2 linked regions of the Macaca mulatta genome follow. The protein of the gene in region 2 interacts with the protein of the main gene of each other region in a pairwise test. Links are inferred from orthologs where the notes say so. Each region holds a gene or a part of one and is shown on either strand. Other genes may lie near its edges.

The links. The genes of interacting proteins can lie anywhere in the genome.
Region 1: the proteins of BPTF (region 2) and MAZ interact in a two-hybrid assay, tested with the Homo sapiens proteins (2 studies listed by BioGRID). The link is inferred for Macaca mulatta from reciprocal best matches to the Homo sapiens genes BPTF and MAZ.

What each region holds. Positions count from the first base shown.
Region 1 is NC_133425.1:28,760,951-28,765,936, forward strand, and holds the start of MAZ (myc-associated zinc finger protein), read right to left. Parts: upstream 3,079-4,986; 5' UTR 2,687-3,078; coding exon 2,495-2,686; intron 2,413-2,494; coding exon 1,463-2,412; intron 1,167-1,462; coding exon 1,103-1,166; intron 965-1,102; coding exon of another isoform or gene 866-964; exon of another isoform or gene 826-865; coding exon 654-825; exon of another isoform or gene 262-653; intron 1-261. Other genes in the region: kinesin-like protein KIF22, read right to left, coding at 4,083-4,130, 4,219-4,278, 4,368-4,580. UniProt on the Homo sapiens protein: Transcriptional regulator, potentially with dual roles in transcription initiation and termination.
Region 2 is NC_133421.1:77,673,297-77,677,518, reverse strand, and holds part of BPTF (nucleosome-remodeling factor subunit BPTF), read right to left. Parts: intron 4,068-4,222; coding exon 3,888-4,067; intron 2,548-3,887; coding exon 237-2,547; intron 1-236. UniProt on the Homo sapiens protein: Regulatory subunit of the ATP-dependent NURF-1 and NURF-5 ISWI chromatin remodeling complexes, which form ordered nucleosome arrays on chromatin and facilitate access to DNA during DNA-templated processes such as DNA replication, transcription, and repair.

The DNA of each region.
Region 1 (4,986 bases), on a different chromosome or scaffold from region 2:
TGGGGCTGGTGGGCACAGCAGCCCCTCCCTGAGCCTGGGGCGTGGCTTGCGTGGTGCCCGCTTCTCAGCCTTGGTACCTACAGAGCTCACTCTCCATGGCCGGGAGACCTCTCCCAGGATGACAGGACACTGACTCCTAGCCAATGGCAGGGTTGACCCTCAGCAGAGACGGCTGTGTCCCCCTCCCTCCAGTGCCCCGCGGTCTCAACCCAGTTAACCGGTGAGTCTGACTGAAGGCAGCTTTCTCTGCTACCCGCGCAGGGTGCGTGCTGGTAAATCCCAGCCCGTGTACTACTCCACCTGCCCCAGGAGCTGGAGACAAGACCTTGTGGCTGCGCGGCGGAAACCTTGCCTTGTGACCCTTGGAACTGGCTTTCTTGACTACTCCCTTCCCCAGAGCAGCCAAGTTCCACTCCCGCTCTCCCCACGTATGCCCAGGAGGTTCAACCTCTCTGGCAGATCTCTCCTCCAGCCAGGACTTAAGAGTCTAACAACATTCATTCAGGTGTCCCCCGCTGCTCCCTTGACCTCTTGGAGGACTCTAGACGCCACGAGCTCTTGGCTACAGCACCCTTAGCCCGTATCCGTGGCAGGGCGTCTGGCTAGGCGCCCACCCTCTGCCCCTGGCCCTCCCGGCAGTCCTCGGCATGTACCTTTGTTGCAGAGCTCACAGACATGGTGAGGGCCCTGGCTGTGCACCTTCATGTGGTCCGAAATATAAGCCGAGCTCAGCATCTTGCCACACACGTGACATGGCACCTTCTCCTCGTGTCGAACTGTGTGCGCCCGCAGCCGATCCTTCGTGGCGAAAGCTGCCTCACATTTCTGGGGAGGGGGGAGGGGCGTGGGGGGTGTCACAGGAGAGTTAAAGCTTGGCGGGCTGGGGAGGGGGGAGCAAGAGGTTAAAGGTATCAGAGCCTTGGGGATCTTTGATCTGTAGGAAATGGGAGTGACATGATGAGGCCTTGAAAAAGGGATGAGAAAATGGAGTGAAAAGGCAAAAAGAAGAGAGAGAAAAAGGGGGTCTGAGAGGCTGAACTCAGACAACTACCATGAGGATCAAAATCATGAAAACCAGGACGGGAGGAGGCGGGCTTCCTACCTCACATTTGAAGGGCCGTTCTGTTGAGTGCACTTGTCTGACGTGACTGTTGAGGTGATCCGGCCTGGGGACACGTTGGGGTTGGGGTTAGGGCGCAGGTGGTGCGCCCCAAATCCGCCAACCTGCACCACAGGCCTTTCCGGGGATCCCTGCGCCTCCTCCCGGAGGCCGGGCCGTCACAGCGCCACTTCGGCAGGAAATCCCTCCCCTGGAACCCAGCCGCTGCCGCCGCCGCCTCCTCCCACGCTTAGCTTCCGTCAACCCCAAGGCCCACCTCCTTGACAAAGGACCACCCCTTGCTCCCTGGTAACCGGGAGAGGCTTCCTCCCTCCGCCCTGGGAGGGGCTCCCCTTCCCCAACCTCAGCAGCCGCCTCCCTCCCCGCCAGCAACGGCCAGGCCACCTCCGTCGCGTCCCTCCCTCCCCACGGCCTAGCGGGCGGCCGAGGCCCCGTGCACACCGGGAGAAGCTCTTGCCACAGTGGGAGCAGTTGTAGGGCTTGTGCACAGCGCCGTCATGTGAGCGCACGTGGTAGCTCATGCGGTCCTTGCGCTTGAAGCGCTGCTGGCACACCGGGCACTGGTAGGGCTTCTCGTCCGAGTGCGACAGCTTGTGTCGGTTCAGGTGGTAGACGTCGCGGAAGGCCTTGCCGCACATCTCGCAGGCGTGGTTCTTCCGGATGCGCTTCCCCGAGGCGGTCGTGGTCACCACGCCACCGGCGGCCACTGCGGCAGCGCCGCCGCCGGCACCCGCCTCTCCCCCTCCCCCGCCAGCTCCGCTCAGCTGGGGCACGCTCAGGAGGCTCAGGGGCACCATGGTGGGCATCTTCATAGCACCCGAGGGGACCCGGCCGGCCTTGGCTCCCGTGTGGATGGCTTCGTGCCTCCGGAGATTGTAGCCGTTCTTAAACTCCTTGGCGCACAGAGCGCAGACGTAGGGCCCCTTGCTCTTTGTCTTCTTCTCCAAGGCAGACGCAACCGGGGCCACTGCGACCGTCGAGGTTGGGGCTACGACAGCGGTGGCCGCCGCCGCGGCGATGGTGGCGGCGGAGGCGGGGGGCGCGGCCTCGGCCGTGGGCGCCGACACGGGCGGGGGTGGCGGAGGGGGCGCCGGGGGCTGCTTCAGGGCTGCTGTGTCCACCGTGGAGGCAGCGGCAGGGGCCGGGGGCGCGGCAGCGACGGCGGCAGCAGCGGCGGCGGCGGCCGCAGCAGCCGCGGCGGACTCCTGGGCGGCGGCAAGCACCGGGAGCAAGTCCACCTGGAGGGGCTCGGCCGCCGGGGCCTGGGGCGTGGGCGGGGGCGCCGGCGCGGCCTACGGAAACAAGGCGCCGAGTGGGCCGCGAGTGCGGGCGGGCGCCCCCCCAGCCCGGGCCGCCGCGGCCGGCCCTACTCACCTGGAATGGACTCTGGGCGCAGCCCTGGGAGGCAAAGAAGCGGGACTGGAGCTCAGCCCCGACCTGCAGGGGGTTCTGGGCGTGACCCTGAGGTGGCGGGAAGGAGTTCATGAGGCCGCCCACCCCCCGGGAGTCCAGGCCCAGCACGGGGAAGGGGGGGGCCAGCAGCGTGCAAGGGAACACCGGGAACATGGCCTCGGCCGCAGCGGGGCCCCCGGGGCTCAGCGGGGGCCGGGGGCGCGGGCCGCGCGGGGCCCGGGCTCGGGGCGCCGCCCCCGGCCGGCCGGGCTGGGCCGCGCCGAACGCATGGCCCGCGGGCCGCCCCGCCGCCCGCGCACCCCGGCCGGCGGGAGGGAGGGAGGGAAGGAGGGCGCCTTGCGGGCCGCGGAGCGCCGCGGCGACGGCGGCGGCGACGCCCCCTGGGTGGGGGCGGGAGGCCCCGCGGGGCCGGGGCCGGGGGCGGGGGCCCGGGCGGCGGCGGCGGCGGCGGCGGCGGCGGCGGCGGTTAGAGCCTGGCGGGGCGGGGTGGGGGGAGCGAGGGAGCAGCCTCGGCCCCCGCCGCGCGCGCGCCCAGCCGGCGCCTCGGGGAGGGCGGGGGAGGGCGCGAGGGAGGGAGGGGGACAGCTGCGCGCGCACCGGGCGCGCGGAGGGGGGGTGGGACGGGAGGGAGGGCGGGCAGGAGGGGGTGTGGGCAGGGGGGTGGGGGCGGGGGGAGGGGGTTGTTACCTGGAAGATGAAGCTGCTCCAGTTGCTGGGATCCATGGCGGAGGGAGGGAGGGAGGTGGCTCGCGCTCACCCTGGGGCGGGAGGAGGAGGAGGCGGCGGTGGGGGAGGGGGAACCCGGGGAGGAGGCGCGCGGGGCGGGCAGGAGGGGGGAGGTGGAGGGTGGGGGGAGCGGAGCACACTGCGCGCGGGGAGGGCGGGCGGGGGGCGCGAGGACACACAAGAGGCTGGAGCGGGCGCGAGCGCGAGCGCGCGCGTGGCCAGCGGGAGGGGCGGGCGCGAGAGGGACTCTGGCGGGAGGAGGGACGGGGGAGCCACCCAGCAGCCCGAGTCGCCCCAAGCGCGAGACCCCTGAGACGGCTGCTGATTGGCTGACGATGGCGCAGGTGGTGGGCGCGCGGGAGACGGGGCGGCTTCTCTCCTCTTCCCCCCTCCAACGATTCCACCCCCCTCCCTCCGCCAGCGGCCGTTATTTCGCGCGCACGCGCACAAGGCCGCCGCCGTTGCCGAGCGGGAGAGTGGGGGAGCGCGCGCCGGGGGCACGGACGGGGCGGGGCTAATCCCTGAGCGCGCGCCCGCCTAACGGTCGCAGGCCTCATGCTTCGGCTTCCTCTTTTTGCGTCCTGCCGGCCACCGTCCTCCCCGCCCCACTCCAGCTGTTTATTTACAATCCAGCGCTGACTCGCTGCCCGAAGATGGCGCCCAGTGGAGTCTCCGGCCTCGCTCGCGGCCCACCCCGAGGCGGTCACACCCCGGTCCCGCCCCCACAGCCCCAAAAATCAGGCGGAAGCACCAGAGAAAAAACTGTATTTACACAACACGGGGTTATACAAGGATTTAAAAAGGCGGAGTGAAGAGACGACGGTCAGGAGGGGCCACAGCGCTGGCCGGCGGCGAGACCCAGGATGTTTGCCTGCAACACAGGAGGGAGGGGGGCAGCGACGTTAGAGAGGGACGCGGGGCGCAGGACACGCAGAGGAGGGGCAGGGCCGTGACCTCACCTTGAGGAAGGACTCCATCTGTTTCCCCGTTATGCCCTCCACGCGTTCCAGGTCCTCCACCTGGCGGGACAGGATGGATGGGGGACGGGGTCTCAGGGGTGCCTGGTCTCCCCAGCTCCCTGCCCTGTCCCTGTCCAGTGGGCTGGTACCTGGCTGAAGGGGCCGTGAAGCTCCCGCCATCCCACGATTAGCTGAGCCTTCTTCGGGCCAATACGCTGAAGACTGCGGAGATCCCGTGCTGAGCCTTCGTTCAGCAGATCCAATATTTTTTGGCGCCCATGAGCCAGTAGCTCCGGGCTGATCTGTAGCTCCCAGCAGTCCTCAGCCTTCTCCTCAGGCTCTGGGGCATCCAGGGACTCCACCTGGGAGACAAAGGGAGGTGAGTGACACGCAGGGCAGCCAAGTGCTTTGGGCTCTTCTGCCAAAACTAGGAGCCCAGCACCAGCGACCTCCTGCGCTGCAGCCTCTTCCTCTCCTCCTCAAGTTGTGTCCAAAATCCCGCCTTCAGGTCACTCTCTGGGTTAATTCTCATTATGCAACTAGTGAAACTGAGATACTATTTAGTACTCAGTGGTAATATTAGCACCTTTCTCATGGAGTTGCTGTGGAGATCAAGTGAGTTAATGAAAAGCACAAAATAAGCTCTTAAATCTGGTCCCTCATCTCTAAAAGGGAAAGAATAAGCTCTTTCAAAAGTACATGGGAGAAAATAAATAAATACCTCCCCCCAACCATCTCAGTGTTTGGGTAGTTCTTCTAGTGGTGTTC
Region 2 (4,222 bases):
ATTTTAAAACATTCTCTTAAATTTTAAGTCTTTAAACATTTTTCCCTACAAAAACTTTAGTACATACCAGTTGGCCAATTTTGAAGCTTTCTGTATCCTGTTTCCATGACTATCTTTAGCCATTAATATGTTTCCTGTCTTATCTCTATTATCTCATTTTTAAAAAATGAGATATTCTTGTGAGATAATTCTTTCAAAAATTTTCTCCCTCCCCAAATACATTTTAAAGTACATACCTCCAAGTGATGCCAAAGGTTGGTCTAGGAGAAGGATATGGCCATATATCCAAAGCAGGTTTTGCATTGTAATTAAAATAAGGGACCTCTCGGATTCCTCCTTTTCTGGCCAACTTTTTTAAGTCATCGTTAGGCAAAACAAAAATGCTCTTCTTGCTGCTCTTGGTAACAAATTTTCTATAGGATGGCAGAGCTGTACCTGAGCGAGTCTTCTTTGGTCTTGAAAATTTCATCAGTTTCACTTTGTCTCGTGTGGAATACTCTTTGCTCACAGTCATAGATGTAACCAGCGTGCCTCCTGTGGTGGTCAAGGAGTCTGTCACTGTCGTGGTGACCACAGTTTTGCTCTGCTCCTTTACAGAGATGATGTCCACACTGCTGCCCGTGGAAGGTGTGGAAAGCTTGGTCACCGTTGTAGTGGTGGTTGTGACAGTGGATTTCGCACAATTTTCTGTGGAAGAAACCACAGTTTGCTTATCGCCTTTTTCTACCTTGATCACAGTTTTTGATTCTGTGGCCACAGTGGAAGTCATCGTAGTGACTTCTGTGATGACGGTTTTTCTTTTAGATTCTCCATTGACATTTTCATTTTTGTTGACAGGCAGACCATTTTCATCAATAAAGTCATTACTGAGATTAGATTCCTCTCCAGAAGTAACAGGTGATGAACTACCTTTCTTAACTTCTGAGGTTTCTATTTCCATATCTTCTACCTGATTAACTGAATTGCTTTCTGGACAAGATGGTGAAGGTGTGGTCGTCTGTGTACCGTCAGACTCTTTGGTTGATGGCAGGGTCTCAAGGCTATCTCGGTAGTTACCTTCAGCATCTGAAGAACTCAGTAAATGTGATTTTGTTTCGGAGCTGTTTCTTTCATTAAAATCTTCCATGATGACATCACCATTAATGAACGGCCTTACAGCAGATTCTTTAACAGTCAATGATTTAATATCATTCTCAGGGATTATTTTATTTATATTATTAACCTTTGGTTCAACATTACCACTTACTACTTTACTCTCAGAAATTTCTTTCAAGCATTCACCTTTCAAATATATCTTAGGTTTATTATCTTTTCCATTTATTTGAAATGTACTTGTTCTCTGTCCTTTCTTTTCAGACTCTCGATTTTCATTATTCTTTTTGTCAGTAGTATTTTTTAGCTTTATTTGATCACTACATTTATTAACTGATCTCTCCTCTAATTTCTTCTGCTGACTTGTTTTTTTACCATTTGCTTCAGTTACCTTACCCAGCAGTCTGTCCTCACAGTTTCCAGTGGACTTCTCAGAAACCAATTCACATTTTAATGGCTCCAAGCCTTCAATACCTTGTTCTTGAGTTCTGAACTGTTCAGAAATACTTTCATTGCTATTCTGAACAATCATATCTTCTTCACTGCTATCGTGAATAGACACAGTATCAGAACTATTTTCCAAAGTGCTATTAGATTCAGAGTCACATCCCAGTTTTCCTTCAAAGTCCATTGCTTTTGACAGAGGTGTGGCATCTCTGTCATTGGTACTTTTAGGCACTGATGAATGTAAAGCACTCTTGGAAGAAGAAACGATGGTGTCGTTTTCCTCCTGTATGAGCAGTTTTTCGTTCCTATAGATCAAAGAACCAATATCACCTGCATTGGCTAGTTTAGAGTCATCAATGAAAATACCATTTCCTTTTGTTCTACTCTTACTGGGTTCCTGGCCTTTCCTGGCAGGGTCAGAGGCATTTTCTTCTATGTCATTTTCAACGGAATTTTCTTTCTGACAGTTTGTTTCTGGGCTCCGAAAGGAGACATCATCTAACACTTGATCTTTTGGATAAAGTTTGTTGGTGGTACGACTAGGATCCCTCATTCCAAGAACTGAGGAATCACTTTCTGAACATCCCGGAATCAAGTCCTCAGGTCGATCATTATTTGCATTCGGGCTCTGTTCTTGTCGCATCGAGTCACTCTGATACCCTTCTTTTGCTTTTGTTATTACTGGTGATTCAGAGAGATTTTTTGAAGAATTTGTAGAAGTCTTTCCTATACCCTTAATTCCACCCTCCAACTTGATTTTTTCGAGGCGCTGTTTTTCTTCCAGTGTAAACTGTTTAATTCTCCTTTCAAGAAGTCCATCTAGTTTGGATGATTTTGTTTTCTTTTTGTAACTAGTCCTTAGATGAAAACCCTCACTAACATTGACCACATCTACTTGAGAACTCTCCTGACAATTTACATGTGACTCTGTTTTCATGTCATCGTCTATTTCCATTGGTTCTTCCTTGCAGGGTTTATCACTGTCAGAATCTAAAAGCTCCTTCACATCTGTGAAACAAAGACATTTATAGAAATGTAACTTTTACTCTGAAAGGAGGAATTTATACTTTTTTTTTTTTTTTTGAGATGGAGTCTCACTCTGTTGCCCAGGCTGGAGTGCAGCGGCGTGATCACAGTTCACTGCAACCTCCGCCTCCTGGGTTCAAGCAATTCTCATGCCTCAGCTTCCCGAGTAGCCGGGATTACAGGCATGTGACACCATGCCTGGCTAGTTTTTGAATTTTCAGTAGAGACATGGTTTCACGATGTTGGCCAGGCTGGTCTTGAACTCCTGACCTCAGGTGATCCGCCCAACTCAGCCTCCCAAAGTGCTGAGATTACAGGCATGAGCCACTGTGCCTAGCCAAAAATATTAAAGTATCTATTTTTCTCATTTTCTCTCTAGAGTTTAAACATATATTTCAAAGTTCCTGGTCAATAGATAGTGTTGAACTTTATGAGACATACATCCCCAAAATAATTAAATATTCTGATCCTTAGTATCTAAAAACGATGGAATGCCATAATGAAAAAGTACTTAGTATGTGGCAGGCTACTGCACACGCTAGTACCTTCATGTAATATTTTGTATAGACTTTTACAGTTATAACGTATCTCTAGCCACATGCATTATTTAGCTTATTTAGTTTTTTAAAAAATGACTTGTTACAAAAGACAATGTAGTTCCTCAAAAGGTTAAACAGAGTTACCATATGATCCAGTAATTCCATTTCTAGGTATATCTCCAAGAGAAGTGAAAACGCTTGGCCACAAAAAACTTCTGCATGAATGTTCATAGCAGCATTATTCATAATAGCCAAAAGAGGAAACGGCCCAATGTCCATCAACTGATGAATGGATAACAAAATGTGGCATATCCATACAGAGTATTATTCAGAAATAGAAAGAAAATACTGATACATGCTACAACATGGATGAACCTTAAAAACATGCTAAGTGGATGAAGCCAGCCACAAAGGACCACATATTGCCTGATTCCATTTCTATGGACTGTCCAAAATAGGCAAATCCAGAGAGACAGAAAGAAGACCGCTAAGCTGGTGGCACTTTGGGGAAGGATTGGTAAGTAACTGCTAATGGGTATGAATGAGGCTTCTTTTCAAGGTTATGAAAATGTTCTAAGATTGACGTGATAATGGTTGAACTTTGTGACTATACTAAAAACCACTGAATTTACACTTTAATTGGGTGAATTGTATGGGATATGAATTACATTTTAATAAAGCTATTATCAAGAAAACACAACGCAGTACCTTTCCTGTGGTGGGACCCCGATCCACTGCATTCTTATCACCCCCAGGCTGCCCTCCACAGCTGACTCTCCTTACCTTGGTCCTTCTTCTCAGTAATCTTTGAGATATCCATTTCACTTTGGTCTGCTCCTTTTGCAGCATCTGAATCTTTTACCTCATCTTTTTCAGAATCAGGCTCTGTTTTTATTTTTTTGGGACTTCGTGAACATTTTCTTTTATCTGACTCATCCATATTTTCATCCATATTATTTTTGGCTAAAAAGAACCGTGTATAGCATAATTAACGTTATTTCCAGTATTAGTACTTTAATATGTCAAGTTTAGTGAAAACAAACAAGTATTTTCCAGCAAGTTATGTTTCATTTTTTCATTAAAAAAAAAAAAAAGGACAAAGGTCTTATTGAGTATAA